Drosophila melanogaster: one gene and its partners. The protein of the gene in region 2 interacts with the protein of the main gene of each other region in a biochemical or structural test. Each region holds a gene or a part of one and is shown on either strand. Other genes may lie near its edges.

Evidence for each region.
Region 1: of the proteins of Synj (region 2) and mnb, one has a biochemical effect on the other in vitro, tested with the Drosophila melanogaster proteins (one study listed by BioGRID).
Region 3: the proteins of Synj (region 2) and Dap160 interact in far-western blotting, tested with the Drosophila melanogaster proteins (one study listed by BioGRID).

Annotation. Positions count from the first base shown.
Region 1 is NC_004354.4:17,872,014-17,876,728, reverse strand, and holds the start of mnb (minibrain), read left to right. Parts: upstream 1-1,688; 5' UTR 1,689-1,849; coding exon 1,850-2,324; intron 2,325-3,328; coding exon 3,329-3,474; intron 3,475-3,975; coding exon 3,976-4,110; intron 4,111-4,715. UniProt on the Drosophila melanogaster protein: Role in the specific control of proper proliferation of optic lobe neuronal progeny.
Region 2 is NT_033778.4:22,078,190-22,085,985, forward strand, and holds Synj (synaptojanin), read left to right. Parts: upstream 1-1,986; 5' UTR 1,987-2,016; intron 2,017-2,253; exon of another isoform or gene 2,254-2,349; intron 2,350-2,495; exon of another isoform or gene 2,496-2,574; intron 2,575-2,885; 5' UTR 2,886-2,990; coding exon 2,991-4,448; intron 4,449-4,515; coding exon 4,516-6,714; 3' UTR 6,715-6,735; intron 6,736-6,802; 3' UTR 6,803-7,232; downstream 7,233-7,796. Other genes in the region: CG13502 (uncharacterized protein), read right to left, coding at 7,703-7,796.
Region 3 is NT_033779.5:21,139,230-21,143,909, reverse strand, and holds the start of Dap160 (dynamin associated protein 160), read left to right. Parts: upstream 1-1,562; 5' UTR 1,563-1,671; intron 1,672-1,897; 5' UTR 1,898-2,121; coding exon 2,122-2,285; intron 2,286-2,357; coding exon 2,358-2,732; intron 2,733-2,901; coding exon 2,902-3,341; intron 3,342-3,419; coding exon of another isoform or gene 3,420-3,431; coding exon 3,432-3,693; intron 3,694-3,753; coding exon 3,754-3,901; intron 3,902-3,967; coding exon 3,968-4,234; intron 4,235-4,307; coding exon 4,308-4,680. Other genes in the region: pths (porthos), read right to left, coding at 88-346, 407-604.

The DNA of each region.
Region 1 (4,715 bases), on a different chromosome or scaffold from region 2:
ACTGTTTTGAAAAACCCGTAAGTCTATGCGGGACTTCCCCATTATTTGCCAAATATGTCGAGACTTTAGTATCCGATTAGCTGGCGCCGCCATCTGTTCATAAAGTTGTCAAGTGGTGGGTAATAGTAGTATTACAGTCGCAGTCACGTCACGATGTGAGTCACCTGCTCCGGATGCAATTATCGATGGTGTGTGATTGTTGGTAGTGGCCCTATCCCCCCCCCCCCCCTCATTCCTCGCCCAAAATGCAAGTGGCCAAAAAGGTGGCGGGGAGCGAACGCAAAATGTCGTCAACTATTTTTATTTTCGGCCGAGAGACGCGACAGACAAACAACGAACATGAGAACTTTGGGGCAAAGATCCCACATTGCGAACGGAGGATCGGATCGGATCGGATCGGATGGGATCCCTATAAATAGAGGGACTGGTGGCTATGCTCCTGCGAATCTTTCGAGGGGCCCCGAACGCATTAATTATTCAACTCTTCCATCGATTGGCAAGCGTTCAATTTGTTTATTATAAAAGCAAAATATTTTTTAATTGCTTTGGCGAAATGGAAAACACAAATTAGCTTGGCGTGTAGACAGACATTTACATAACTCGAAAGAACACAAGTTTATAATTATTTCAAAATCGTTTGGCATTACTGGGCATTTTAGTTTCGAAAACGATTTCCTATTTTTATGGCCCACTCTGCCAAGTGGCAGCTCAACCAGTTATACAGTTTTGTAACGCACTGCATTATGTACACACACTTTTTGCCTGGGGTTAATTACATTTTATTTTAATTTCACATTTCGTTTGCTTTGTTTTGATTTCCTTGACTTGCCGACGACGCAAAAGCCGAAACAAAGAAATGCATACTTACATATGTATGTATGTATGTATGTATGTATATTTGTATCTTTGCGCGCACGAGACAAGTGCGAGCACTTTCCCACCCACAACCACCCAGCGTTCCCCCATTTACCCCACATGCATTCGCTACATGTCACTACGCTACATGTCATTATTGAAATGCCATTATCAACGAAAAGCGGAACTCCCTCTGTCAAAAAAAACACTTGTGATAGAAAACAAAAGGCCAGCCAGAAGTGAGCTTTTCACCAACAATAATGGGGGAGAATACCTAAGAAAACCGATTTATTCGTTTGTGGTTAATCACAAGCAAGTGCAAGTAACTCTGTGATCAATATGGAGATACTGAAAGGTATTTACCCAACACTGTTTCAATCAGTTGAGCTTCTTCAACACCAGAGATGTGCACTCCGAAACAAAGGTCGAAAGGTATGGATTTGACCAAGAGATATCACCAAGAGATTTTTCTATTTCCCATTTACTCAAATGCAATTGTGCAACACTGAACGAGTCTAGTGTAGTGTTAATATAGCGAATTCCGATGCCAGATAGCCGGGCATTCCCTACTTTAGCTTCATGATCATTACCACGCCGAGATCGTGATGATCGTTGCTGCAATCTCGCTATCGGCGCTCGGCTTCGTTCGTGTGTTCCGCATAAGTGCAGCAAAAAAGTGCAAAAACACCAAGTGAAATAAAAGAGCAGGGAGAAAACACGGTTCCGTATAAATAAAACAGACGACAACAACAACAACAACGACGAGTGGCAAACTTTGGGGACAGAACTGGGGGAACAAAAACCGAGGCAGTTTGCGCTGAATTTTCACACGAAACAGACCGCGCTTCATACAGCCAGATCCAAATGGATCTTAAATTACTTAAATAAACTATATAAAAATAAACGAAATAAGCATATCATTTTGATTGAAAAAAGGAAGCGGTTAGTGCAAAGTGCGTTCGCGATTCCGATTGCGATTCCGATTGCCAGTGATATGTCGACGGCCCTGGTTTATTGGCAGTCAATGAATGGCGGCGATCCGGTTGACAAGGCCACCGCGGATTGGGCGCCATTCGTGGTTGGTGCAGCAGCTGGTGGCAGCTTCAGTAGCAGCATCATCACCAGCAGCAGCAGCAGCTTGAACCACCATCCGCACAACGGCCACCACAATCACCATCATCCGCCTCATTACATCAATTATTTGGCGCAAATTGGCTGCCAGCATCGTGTCAGAAATTGGCCAACAAATGGCAATCAGGATCAGGCGGATGACGACGACGCTGGCCATCAGATCATCTCTAAATTCCTGCCCAAAAGTGCCTGGGACACGGTGCTGTTGGATGTGAAGCGGGATGTAGATGAAGATGGAGATAGAGATAGAGATCGGGTCGATGGCAATGTGCTGATGGTTCAGGGATCGTCATCATCATCATCGAGAATGAAGGCGGAACGGGCACTCTATTATACTAGTAAGCCCATTGGATGAAACAGAGAAGTTGGCCTAGAAAAATTTGTTGCATGTCAGTTTAACTGACCGACAACTTTTTTTTTTGCGTTTGCACAATTAGTCAACGAATAGAAAGGAAAAGTATCTTTGCTCTCGCCACATGTTTTTTTGGAAATTAGAAATGGAGTGTTGGAATATCAAATGTCGCGGATTATCATCGAAAACACAGCTGCTGCCACTTACAGGTTTTACCCTGTTGCTTGATTTTTTCATTCTTGTTTATAACGTTGGGTCTATTTTTGTTGCACAAGCCATCAGCGAACGAAGAGCGAAGAGCAACAAAACAAAAAGAGTGAGCATGTGAAATGGTCATAGGAACGTGGGGAAATAGAATCTACAAACGGCAGAATTATGTATCTGCGCCTGCATATTGTGTAATAATTTCAGTTCAGTTCCGTCTGGTTCTAAAATTAAGGTAGAGCTTCTTTTTTACTTACCTCTGCTGGCCTGCCAATGCACAGGAAAAAAATATTGCTAGCAAAAGTAGATTCTTCGGAAAGGAAGAGAAATGTTCCAATTCGTTTTTTTTTATATGGCAGCATCATGTGCTTACTATCTTTAACTCACTAGTATGACCACCAATTCAACAACTAATTTTAGAACGAATTTTGCATCTTGAGTTAAAAAAAGAATGCATGACTCTGGGCTGGCTCTATATCAGATCTTAAATGGGAATTGGCAGTGTTTTTCCTGCGGTGTGTGTCCACACTTTTCGCCCTACCCTTTGCTTTTATTATCGTTTTGGCAACTCTTGACGCTGACGTAGTCAGGTGTGCAAGAAAACAGGTGCATTTTGCAGAGGAGCGGTGTCCGAGCGATCCGGTCAATGAACCAGCACAGAACGGCGCACAACGAAGGCGGCAAGCAAATACATCGCAATAATTATATATACACACATATATATTTGTATAATTCCCGCCGATATCTGATAGTATCTCTGATCTCTTCCTTTCTCTTACGCTCTAGTGTCCGCTTATGGGTCCAGCGGCGGCAGCGTCGACGCAGCGCAGGGCAGCGGAAGCGGGGGCGGAAGACAGCGCCACGCCCCACTCTACGGGCGATTCGTCGACGCAGAGGATCTGCCTGCCACGCACCGGGATGTCATGCACCATGTGAGTATTATCAACTAGCATTATCCTTATCTTCAATCCAAAACATGCATTTACACACAAAGGACATGCAGAAGTTGTGTTTCTTTCTTTTAGAAATTGTAGAACATTTTTTGTTTAGAAAAAATCCACAAATATTTCAACGGAGCCGTGTAAAAGATAACTTTACTTCGTTGAATATGAACTTACTTTTTCCCATGCTCTACTTAAATTAAAACATGCAATTAGAAAGGTTTATGGCGCATTTGAGAAAGCCGCGCCCTCGGAAGAACAAAGAATGGTATTTTTCAGGACTGGTTTTGCCTTTCTCAATGCGGCCATTAAGACTGCGTATTTATGTTAATAACGAAGCTTAGCAAGTACATTAATAATGTTGTTTTAAGAAATTAAAGAGATTGTGTTCAAAATAAAAATGATTTGATCTGAGCACGATCTGAGCCAAAGCTAGCTGGGCATCACTTTATTGAACAGTTTGAGTAATACGTTCTCCATCTCATTCCACAGCACTCTAGTCCCTCGTCTTCGTCGGAGGTGCGCGCCATGCAGGCCCGGATTCCCAACCACTTTCGGGAGCCCGCCTCGGGACCTTTGCGCAAGCTGAGTGTCGATCTGATAAAGACCTACAAGCACATCAACGAGGTGAGTGTGGCCCATAACTGGCGTTTAATCTGGTTAATCTACAAGCAAAACATATGAGAACCAATTGATAATTGGATATTTGATCATAAAATCCTATGTTTATCGTGGCAATATTGAGTTTGGATCATGTTTACCAGGTTCTCTTGTCGTTACAATGCACATAACTTTTCTGTTTTCATTTGCATTAGTAAATAGTGATTCTATTGATATTTTAGCTTGGCAAGATTCCATATCATTTCAAAAAGTATATTCTATCTAGTTTATGTAACTGTCTACCTTATCAATTACCATTGCGATGATGTTGTTCTTGTAGTCTGCAAAACTACGAAGGAACCTTGGCATCCATCCATCCCGATTTCTTTCTTCTTTTTTTTTTATTTACGCTTATATGTCGATCGGAATTTCGTCGGGGGCTTTTCTCGTCTTGTGGCTTTCTTTTTTCGGCTGTCTGACTATCTGCTGACAGCGGATATTTGTGGCGTTGAGCTGGGCTAAAGATACGTTTGTCCTTGACCCGTTCGTGGGGTCAATTCCCCCAACAGCGTCACCGTTCCCCCGCAGCCAGCCATTTGCAGTTGGCTTCGATTGACGTCGTCTGCCGCCTC
Region 2 (7,796 bases):
TATACTTATGATTATTTTTAGTTAAGTTGTTTGTGTTGTTTTTTGTTTGCCCCAGCTGCTGTACATAGGCGCCAAAAGGGAATGCCATTGAATAAATCAAATCAAATCGAATCGAATCGAATCGAAACGATCGTGAGAATGAAAACCCATTAGGTTCTGATTGATGTTTATTTACAGTATCGTTTCTCATAGATCCCCCCTCTTATCAGTTAGCTGACTCAGGGGCCTTTTGGCCAAATAGGTGAGAAACGTTTGGCTGAGTCACACCATCGACCATAGTCGGTTTCAGCGTAATTATCACCGCACTCACTTGACTCGACCCTACGCTCCTAATGCGGGCTTGGCGGCGATTGCGCCCCTGTTTGTGTCTAAGTTATGTGGGAGGTGATGGGTCAGGCTGGTGGCGACCATTATAGCGTACTCTAGATGCTGCTCGTAGAACCTTCCAGTCAAATGATCGCATGGGATTGGTGTGGGGGAAAATTCTTTCGATTTCTTTCCACACAGCCAGCCCCTTATCTTAATGAACTTAAGCCATGACAAGCGAGAGACACAAAAACATATTTATGAATTAAATGACTACAGATACGAGAAGCGGGCATATCAGCGGCAAAGGGAGGGAGAAATATACATATATACATATGTGGTTGGACCTTCGATGCAGGTCCGGAACCAACCTAGGCCGACGCCTTTAGCTTACGCATTAGGTTATAACAATATAACAATTAGGCGCAGACGCATTCAAATGAACCAGGCGGGGTAGATGATATATTTGGTGGGCATACACTATTAACGACTGCTGATACTTTTTTTTTTGCACAGCCGCCCTGCCTAAAATGGGCGAAAATGCAATTTAAACGGAATGACGTACTTGGGGGGAGTGCTAAAAATTCCGAAAGCGGCCATATCTTGCTGGAATTATGTAAATTAATCAATCGTTATCAGTACCCAAGGCACGGCAATCCACTCGAATTTCAGTTAAGCGATTAGATAACATATGGGGGGGAATGCGAAAACCCTTCGACTAGAATTGTTGCTTCGCTTGCCAAGAGCTACATATGTATGTAAGCCGAACTATGGAAATAATGTACGAGTATTTGAGTAATTAGTGCGTATTTTTTAAATCAATTCGTATTCTAAGCCTACAACTAGTCAAACATACTTATCGAATAAACTGAGAAGCATGACCAATATAAATCTGACTTTATTTACTTTTCTGGTTCACAAAGAATGCGATGCAATGCAAATTTATTTGCGTCCTCCGGTTTCTGATAAGGCGGATTGGAATGAATCACCCGATTGTCTGTGATTTACAATTAGAGGTTTTGTTGCGACCATTGAGATTACTCAAAATGTCCGCAATGGGGCTATCTAATCGAATTGGAGGAGCATGGTGCGCACGTGAGAAGTGCCAAAAAAAAAATCAGAGCATAGTGAAACAATAAATAAATAATCATTACATTCCATATGTGCATACGGACCAATGCAAACAGTAGGCGATTAAGCGTTCTACATTCTATCGTAGCATGCAATTTTGAGTGACTAAGCTCCATGAAACGTTGTTTCTGAGACCTAATTATCTTAAAACAGCATTGAATTGCTTCCTGTTTGCCGAAAGAAGCGCAAGTGTAATCTTAGCATCAGAAATATTGCCAACTTTTTGGGTCGTTTCTTATCATATAATTTGAAAAGTGTGCAGTTTTGGGACAATTGAGATAAAGACTATATTTGTCCCAGTTTGATGAAAAATGGTTCAGATACTTCAGGGCACTGAGCGAAGCCCCTAGCCTCGGGCTATCGTCAAGTGTCCGCCGTAATCTTCAAAAGTGGTCAATACACTTGACTTTGATGTTTTAGTACACAATTTAAATTCAAATCTTTAGTTCGGCGCGCAGATCTCTGTCAACAGCTCGATAATTATCGAGGCCATATAGAATGCTGTCGTTTTCCGGCTTACCAAATACGGTCATACCACCCAAAGCTCTCCAGAATTTTGCAATAAAATCGCAAACAAAGGTATTAGGAGTATTAAGAGGCGTAAAAAATTCATTTGAGGAGCCAATAGTTTCGTGAAATCTAGTGTTTCCTCTTTTAAGTGGTCGCCAAGCATGCCGTTCGTTGGCTGCCTCTAAAAACAGTCAAATGCCTGTGCAAATTTCTCGTGAAAAATCCATAGAATGCACAAAAAATGTTTATCAGTCACTCACAAACACACGCACGCGCCAGCAGTGAGTGGGAGAGAGCGAGAGAGAGCACAGCTGCCGCCGGTGCATGTCATTGCTGTGTGTGCGTGTGTGGGTGAACTTGAGTGGGAGGCGGAAGATATTGGAAAAATTCCTCCGCTTTTCGGTTTGTTTATGTTTAAGAGTTGCCTATTGATTTTTAACAGGCGCCCGAAATTTTAGTGCCATTTCGGTTCAAAGTGTCTGTTGTACTAGTTGAACTTTCCCATTTCCACTCACCTCGTGCAAATCCTAAAATTAAAAGAATCAAAAACTTTGTGGTATTAAATTAACCCCAAATTTGAGCTCATTTGAGCTATTACGAAGTGCACAAAATAACTTAACTTAGCAAGTAAAACACTCACCAAAATATTTTTTAAAACTTAAAAAAACAACGAATGTAGCGTAGTTGATAATAACTTATTACTTAGTAAAAAAAATATTACGATAAATTAGTTTTAAAAGTGTTGCTCATAAATTGAAATCGAATGAGTCCTATAATTGTAGCATTGCAAACGACGAATCCCAATATTAAACCTACACCTTAAAAACGAAGTACTATTCTTATAAAAATAATAGATCTCTATTATGTAACTGATACACCCTTTAAAAATGTAACTTGTGAAATACACCCACAATTAAATTGTATTTCCCCACCAACAGATGTCTTAGCTTTAGCTGGACGCAAAACTTAAACTGCAGACAGTAAAGGACGAAATCACATTACTCGACTCAAAAGAAGACACACGGAAGAGAGATACCAACAAGATGGCCATGTCCAAGGTGATCCGTGTGCTGGAGAAGTCCATTGCCCCCTCGCCGCACAGCGTATTACTGGAGCATCGGAACAAGAGCGACAGCATCCTGTTCGAGTCCCATGCGGTGGCCCTGCTGACCCAGCAGGAGACGGATGTCATCCGGAAGCAGTACACCAAGGTCTGCGACGCCTACGGATGTCTGGGTGCCCTCCAACTAAACGCCGGCGAGAGCACCGTGCTGTTCCTGGTGCTGGTCACCGGCTGTGTGTCCATGGGCAAGATCGGCGACATCGAGATCTTCCGGATCACACAAACCACTTTTGTCTCGCTACAAAATGCAGCGCCCAACGAAGACAAGATCAGCGAGGTGCGCAAGCTGCTCAACTCGGGCACCTTCTACTTTGCCCACACCAATGCCAGTGCATCGGCATCCGGAGCGTCATCGTATCGGTTCGATATTACGCTTTGCGCCCAGCGACGCCAGCAAACGCAGGAGACGGACAACCGTTTCTTCTGGAATCGCATGATGCACATCCACCTGATGCGCTTCGGTATCGATTGCCAGTCCTGGTTGTTGCAAGCCATGTGCGGCTCCGTAGAAGTGCGCACCGTCTACATCGGTGCCAAACAGGCCCGTGCCGCCATCATTTCCCGACTGAGCTGCGAACGGGCTGGCACGCGTTTCAATGTCCGTGGTACCAACGATGAGGGCTATGTGGCTAACTTTGTGGAAACCGAGCAAGTGATCTACGTGGACGGCGATGTTACTAGTTATGTGCAGACGCGAGGATCGGTGCCACTCTTCTGGGAACAGCCAGGCGTCCAGGTTGGCTCGCACAAGGTGAAGCTATCACGAGGATTCGAGACATCGGCCGCCGCCTTTGATCGACACATGAGCATGATGAGGCAACGTTACGGCTATCAGACGGTGGTGAATCTGCTAGGCAGCTCCCTTGTTGGCAGCAAGGAGGGCGAGGCCATGCTGAGTAATGAGTTCCAGCGTCATCACGGCATGTCAGCCCACAAGGATGTGCCGCATGTGGTGTTTGACTATCATCAGGAGTGTCGCGGCGGCAATTTCTCGGCGCTGGCCAAGCTCAAGGAACGGATCGTAGCCTGCGGTGCTAACTACGGCGTCTTCCACGCGTCCAATGGTCAGGTGTTGCGCGAGCAGTTCGGTGTTGTGCGCACGAATTGCCTAGACTGTTTGGACAGGACAAACTGTGTGCAGACGTATCTCGGGCTTGACACGCTCGGTATCCAGCTAGAGGCTTTGAAAATGGGCGGCAAGCAGCAGAATATTTCGCGGTTTGAGGAGATCTTCCGACAGATGTGGATCAACAACGGAAATGAGGTCAGCAAGATCTACGCCGGCACCGGGGCCATCCAGGGGGGATCAAAACTAATGGATGGTGCGCGATCTGCAGCAAGAACAATTCAAAATAACCTACTGGACAACTCAAAGCAGGTACATTGTGGTTTTCAATTAAAAATTCAATTTATTATTTACATTACTCCCGTTTTTTCATATTTAGGAAGCCATTGATGTCCTGCTAGTGGGCTCCACGCTTAGCTCGGAGCTTGCGGATCGGGCTCGCATCCTACTGCCCTCCAATATGTTGCATGCACCTACCACTGTGTTGAGAGAGCTATGCAAGCGCTACACTGAATATGTGCGTCCTCGAATGGCACGTGTAGCCGTGGGTACCTATAACGTCAACGGCGGCAAGCACTTCCGCAGCATTGTGTTCAAGGATTCGCTGGCCGATTGGCTGCTCGACTGCCATGCCCTTGCCCGCTCCAAGGCGCTTGTAGATGTGAACAATCCGTCGGAGAACGTCGATCATCCGGTGGATATCTACGCCATTGGATTCGAGGAGATTGTGGATCTGAATGCTTCCAACATAATGGCGGCCAGCACCGACAATGCCAAGTTGTGGGCCGAGGAGCTGCAGAAAACGATCTCGCGGGACAATGACTACGTGCTGCTCACATACCAGCAACTGGTGGGCGTGTGCCTATACATCTACATCCGACCGGAGCACGCGCCGCACATCCGGGACGTGGCCATCGACTGTGTTAAGACAGGATTGGGTGGTGCCACTGGGAATAAGGGTGCCTGTGCCATTCGATTTGTGCTTCATGGTACTTCCATGTGCTTCGTGTGTGCCCACTTTGCAGCCGGACAGTCACAGGTGGCTGAAAGGAACGCTGACTACGCGGAAATCACCCGGAAGCTGGCCTTCCCGATGGGCAGGACGCTAAAATCACACGACTGGGTGTTTTGGTGCGGCGACTTCAACTATCGCATCGACATGGAGAAGGACGAATTAAAGGAGTGCGTACGTAATGGAGATCTCTCAACCGTCCTCGAGTTCGATCAATTGCGCAAGGAGCAGGAGGCTGGCAATGTGTTTGGCGAATTCCTCGAGGGAGAGATCACTTTCGACCCGACGTACAAGTATGATTTGTTCAGCGACGACTACGACACCTCGGAGAAACAGCGAGCGCCCGCCTGGACAGATCGGGTTCTCTGGCGTCGCAGGAAGGCGCTGGCCGAGGGCGACTTTGCTGCCTCAGCCTGGAATCCCGGCAAATTGATTCACTACGGTCGTTCGGAGCTAAAGCAGAGTGATCATAGACCCGTGATCGCTATTATTGATGCTGAGATAATGGAGATCGATCAGCAGCGGAGACGTGCTGTATTCGAGCAGGTTATCCGAGATCTGGGTCCGCCGGACTCCACGATTGTGGTACATGTCCTGGAGTCTTCAGCAACTGGAGATGAGGATGGACCAACCATATACGACGAGAATGTGATGTCAGCCCTGATTACCGAGCTATCCAAGATGGGAGAGGTCACTTTGGTGCGCTATGTGGAGGACACCATGTGGGTCACATTTCGGGATGGAGAATCGGCTTTAAATGCGTCTTCTAAGAAGAGTATCCAAGTATGCGGATTAGATCTTATCCTGGAGCTGAAGTCAAAGGACTGGCAGCATCTGGTGGACAGCGAGATAGAGCTATGCACCACGAACACCATACCGCTGTGCGCTAATCCTGTAGAGCATGCACAACTCCTGCAGGCCATTACGCCGGAGTTGCCCCAGCGGCCCAAGCAGCCGCCCACACGTCCCCCAGCCCGTCCCCCAATGCCTATGTCGCCAAAGAACTCACCACGCCACCTGCCCCACGTCGGGGTCATCAGCATTGTGCCCAAGCCGGCAAAGCCACCGATGCCACCGCAACCGCAATCTCAACCTCTAATTCCGTCGCCGCTTCAGCCGCAGGTGGCGCCGCCTCGTCCGCCGGCAATGGACACCACGCCATCCTCCAAATCGCAATCGCCAACGGAACTTGTATCCGCTAGTTCTTCGACGTCCTCTTCGGGAAAGACTTCGCCCACAGCTCCAGCTGTGCTCTCCGGTCCGCCGACGCCGCCGCGCCAAATGCAGAGCAAGCAGGCCACACCCGTCTCGACGCCCACGCGCCAAGTCGGTTCGCCCAAGGATCCGATTCCATCTGATACCGCCTACGAAACCGCCAGTAATATTTACGAGGAGATTCAGGAGGATGTGCCTGCGCCACGCCATCCGCCGCCGGCTGGACCGCCGCCAGTGATAGGAGCACCAATGGGCCCGCCGCCACCGCTGCCGAATCGCAGGGGCCCACCACCCATACCAAATAGGAGCGGCAATGCTCCACCGCTGCCCACGCGACCCGCCAACAACTGAGCTGCAGGCTACGCACACGGGGTTGGTTAAGAATTCAAGAAATATCAAGCGTAATCCGCAACTAATCATATAATGGCTATATTTACAGCTCGCTGTCTTGCACTCCGATTGCATTCCGAATCGCTGTATTTAATGTTATATATACTCGAATATATTGGGCCACTCTGGAGGAGAACTCCTGGCAATATCCGCACTTCGCATGGAATCTATGTTACTACCTGTTTGTTTGTTTCGATAGTTTCTAGCCGGAATCAAACTGAATTTAAAGTAAACAAATAAGTTCCACATAGCTAAAGCCCAAACTACCCCACTCCGGTACTCTCTTTTTTTTTTTTTTACTTACTGGCCAGACGTACTCAACCCAATTGCACCGGATTTGCCGAGGGCGAAGAATGAATATAATGAAGTATATGGGCGACAAAGTATTACACTAATCTGCATAAATGTAATGTTTAAATAAATTATAGCCGTACTAGTCAAATTATGAAGTAAAGTTATAAAAACTGAAGAAGCAATAGAACTCTGTAAAAGATTCCGATTCGAGCGACACACCCAAACACATGTATCCATTGTTATTGAACAACTATTGAGATAAATTACATATTATTCCACATTGTTAAACTATCGTTGTATTCCGTCAATTTGAGGCTACATCCGGATTTCTGTTTCAGTTGACTACAAATATATATCAATGTAATTGAGAAATTCCAATTGCTCTGTTCAAAAGTTGAAGTTACGCCTAAGATTAACCAAGTAGCATACTACAAAATAAAAAAGTTGGACCGTCGTAGTCGCTGCTCCAAGTGAATATTCGCAAAATGCATTGGAAGTTAATAAAACTCAATACAAGAGTCAAGTAAAATTACCTGAGAGTTTTCGTAATTAATTGATTTATTTATTCAATACCAGCTTATCAAGCCAACTCAATTCAAACAGAAACTTAACACCGGGAGCTGAACAAGTCAGTAGTATTGGGCAGCTGGATGGACTAGAACCATTTGGGCAGAGCGTCATGGGGCAGGTTCTTATGGTTGGGCAGCGCCGTGCAGGGACGCTGTTGGCGCCAGAACTCCTGCCGTTTG
Region 3 (4,680 bases), on a different chromosome or scaffold from region 2:
TAATTTCATATTTTCGTTGATACACAAAATCAAAACAGGTTTAACATCACTGCGAATTAAAAGCACATAAACTATGCGAAAACTCACCAAGGGCTTCAAACTGCTCGCCAATTTGAAATGCCAGTTCCCTCGTGGGGGTTAGCACGAGGGCAAAATACCGCTGCGGATTCTCGAGAAGGGCGTGTAAAATTGGCAGAGCGAAGGCGCCCGTCTTGCCGGAACCGGTCTCCGCTAGGCCAATTACATCCTTGCCCTGTAAGGCGACCGGAATGGCCTCACGTTGGATCTTCGAAGGCGCCTTCCACTTCAATTCGTCACATGCTTGACACAAAGCCTCATTGAGACCCTTTGAAGAAATATGGCCATTCGATTAAATTTTAATTTAAATTAATAGTGGGGCTCATACGAGATCTTTCCAGGTTAGCTTCTGTTCCTCGGCTGCGTCGTCCTCGGAGCCTTTATCATCTTCACCACTTAGTGCCGCCTCGCTGTCCCCTTCCTTATGATTGTTATCTTCATCTTCCTGCTCCTCCTCGCTACCTAGATCCTCCTCTTCGTCACTCGTTTGTAGCTGCGTCTGTTCGTCCTCTGAAGTTTCCGACATTTTGTTACATGAGTTTCAGAAAAATTTCACGGTACGGACATTACCAATAGCAGCACGTGGTCGAAATAAAAGAATTAGAGGCGGTAAAATAGAAATAGAACTATTTGCGATATTATCGATATAGTTGCGTCTTTAAAACAGTGCAGATTCATGATAACTTTCGATAGCTAATGTGCGATATATCACATGCACACTTAATAAAATTTGTAACTCATTCATACTGAACCATGATCTTAATTACAGGACTTAGTTATAGTGCAAATAGTTTGTTTCGGAAATATATTCACATTTGTATAAAATCGTAATTTGTTAGAAAATTGTTTAATATTGTGATTTTGTCATTTCAGTTAATATAACAATGTTTGAAAATAGATGGTGAATACAAATTTGGTATACATCTTTTTCCATCGCGCAATTTTAAATTAATGAAACGCCAATTAGAGGGTTGTCTGTCATGAACTGTCAACGAATAAAAACTGTTTGACATTTTCATACACAAATGTTATTGATGCTATTATTAACAATTCCGTTAAATCCGGAACAAAAGATTTCTGAATAATTGTCATTTTTAATTGTATAGAAATATTAAAGACAATAAAAGAAAAAAATAGTTGAAATAATTTAACTGACTTGTACTTAACATTTTCTTATAATTTTGGATATTCGAATTTTAATCTTCGATTTTGTTTATTGCGATCTGTTGATGTTTTGGTTAGGTATACATTTTCGTATTGTGTTAAATGCATCATACTGCCGACATAATTTTTATGAGGTTCACTGTAGAAGTAATATAATTAATATATTACTCATAGTCAGTAGTTGTTTCATTTATTTAAAAATCCGTTAGCGGCTAAAAACAAAAACGTTGCAGAATAGTCACATCCAACTTAAGGTCACCGTACTTTTCAACACTTGCTTGCTATAATCACAGAAACAAGCGACGGTCACCCTCCTTCGATTATTAGTCCGTACCTATCGGAGCCTATCGTTCGTCGATATAGGATCCTATCATATAAAATATTGATTAAAATTTACGCAAATACAAAATTTTCTTGTTCCGATGAAAAGTAAGCAACAAAATTACAGTTAAGAGGGATATATAAGAGAATAACGTGTGCGTTGGCGGGGACCATACCACATCATTACTTATCAGTTAATTCGTGGCTATGCGGTTGACAAGTGAAAACGCCTACTAAAGAGAAACTAAAACCTTCAGAAAGCGAGTAAAGGGGGCAATCTATCTTTACAACCTGTCCATTGAGATCGCTTAATATTTTTGGAAATGCTTTATAGGTAAACCATAAAAATCCATTGTGAAAATTTGTGGGGGTGGTGGATACTGAATAGGCGATAGACGTAGTAAAGAGAGCGGCGAAAAGAGTGCGGAGCGAAAGAGTTTGTATTTGATGTGTACTCAAAAGTAGCCGAAGAGAGCGCACTAATACACACGCATACGGAAAAAGGACGATAAAGAGGAAGAGCTTTCCGTGGAAACTAGGATAAAGTGTTTGCCCAAAATGAACTCGGCGGTGGATGCGTGGGCTGTGACCCCGAGGGAGCGTTTGAAGTACCAGGAACAGTTTAGGGCACTCCAGCCGCAGGCAGGATTCGTTACCGGCGCCCAGGCCAAAGGGTTCTTCCTGCAGTCCCAGCTGCCGCCCCTGATCCTGGGCCAAATATGGTATGTATATTACGCCCCCATGAATCATCCACCGATAAGAGTGTTAATTCTTACTCATTTTCTTATCTCCAGGGCTCTGGCGGACACTGATTCCGACGGCAAGATGAACATCAATGAGTTCAGCATAGCCTGCAAGCTTATCAACCTCAAGTTGCGCGGCATGGACGTTCCCAAGGTTCTTCCTCCCAGCCTGCTGTCGTCTCTTACCGGCGATGTCCCCTCGATGACGCCACGTGGCTCCACAAGCTCCTTGAGCCCTTTGGATCCACTCAAGGGAATAGTTCCGGCAGTAGCTCCAGTTGTTCCCGTTGTGGCTCCACCGGTGGCTGTGGCTACTGTCATTTCACCGCCTGGAGTCTCAGTGCCGTCTGGCCCCACACCCCCCACCAGCAATCCACCTAGTCGCCACACGTCTATCTCAGAGCGAGCGCCATCGATCGAGTCTGTGTAAGCATCACTTAGAATCGAATTAATGATTTAATATTATTAATGTAGCAAAGAAGAGATAATTTAATTAATTAAATTTCAAATATTCTTAGTTATTGAAATATTAGCAAAAACATATATATAATATCGTATCTGTTCTTAACTCCTCAATCAACTTCTATCCTTTTAGCAACCAAGGAGAATGGGCCGTTCAAGCTGCCCAAAAGCGTAAATACACGCAGGTGTTCAATGCTAATGATCGCACCCGATCTGGTTACTTAACTGGATCCCAGGCACGCGGCGTTCTCGTACAGAGCAAGTTACCCCAGGTCACGCTGGCCCAAATCTGGACGCTGTCCGACATCGACGGCGATGGACGGCTGAACTGCGACGAGTTTATTCTTGCCATGTTCCTATGCGAGAAGGCCATGGCTGGTGAGAAAATTCCGGTTACCTTGCCCCAGGAATGGGTACCGCCCAACTTGCGCAAAATAAAATCGCGACCGGGATCGGTCTCAGGGGTGGTATCCCGTCCTGGCTCACAGCCGGCCTCCCGACACGCATCTGTTTCATCCCAAAGCGGAGTGGGAGTCGTGGATGCTGACCCAACAGCCGGACTACCTGGACAAAGTAAGTGCTTAATTAACTCCGTTGCCAAACATGTGAATATATTCCATATATTAACACTTGTGATTTCGCGTTCACCAGCTTCCTTCGAAGACAAGCGAAAGGAGAATTATGTTAAGGGTCAAGCAGAGCTGGATCGTAGGCGCAAAATTATGGAGGACCAGCAGCGCAAGGAGCGGGAAGAGAGAGAGCGAAAGGAGCGTGAAGAGGCTGATAAGCGTGAAAAGGCTCGTTTGGAGGCCGAGCGTAAGCAGCAGGAGGAACTAGAGCGACAGCTCCAACGCCAGCGAGAGATTGAGATGGAGAAGGAGGAGCAGCGCAAGAGGGAACTGGAGGCTAAGGAGGCGGCCAGAAAGTAAGGACTTTTATCTTGCTTTGAGCGACAAAACAATGTATACAATTTCTATTGTATCAGGGAGCTTGAGAAGCAGCGCCAGCAGGAATGGGAGCAGGCTAGAATTGCCGAAATGAACGCACAGAAGGAGAGGGAACAAGAACGTGTTCTAAAGCAGAAGGCACACAACACCCAGCTTAATGTGGAGCTCAGCACACTGAATGAAAAAGTAATGTTCTTAAAGTACAACTAATCTATATGGCTGGCCTATCTAACTAACTCGGCTTAATTACAGATCAAGGAGCTTTCGCAGAGGATTTGCGACACTCGTGCCGGCGTGACAAACGTAAAGACCGTTATCGACGGAATGCGCACCCAGCGCGACACTTCCATGTCCGAAATGTCGCAGCTGAAAGCGCGGATTAAGGAACAGAACGCTAAACTGCTTCAGCTCACCCAAGAGAGGGCCAAGTGGGAGGCCAAGAGCAAGGCCAGCGGGGCTGCCTTGGGAGGGGAGAATGCGCAGCAGGAGCAACTGAATGCCGCATTCGCCCACAAGCAGGTGAGCTTTGGCATATACGTAAAGTTTTAGTATTCAACGGATTCTCTAAAATACTATTTACCTTTTTCAACAGTTAATTATTAACCAAATAAAGGATAAAGTCGAGAATATCAGTAAAGAGATTGAGTCAAAGAAGGAGGACATCAACACTAATGATGTACAGATGTCTGAGCTCAAGGCCGAGCTCTCCGCTCTAATCACAAAGTGCGAGGATCTGTACAAGGAATACGATGTGCAGCGCACCTCGGTGCTGGAATTGAAGTACAATCGAAAGAACGAAACTAGTGTATCGTCGGCCTGGGACACAGGCTCTTCCAGTGCTTGGGAGGAGACGGGTACGACTGTCACCGATCCCTACGCAGTTGCGAGCAATGATATCTCCGCACTGGCCGCTCCAGCTGTGGACTTAGGGGGACCGGCCCCAGAAGGATTCGTGAAATATCAAG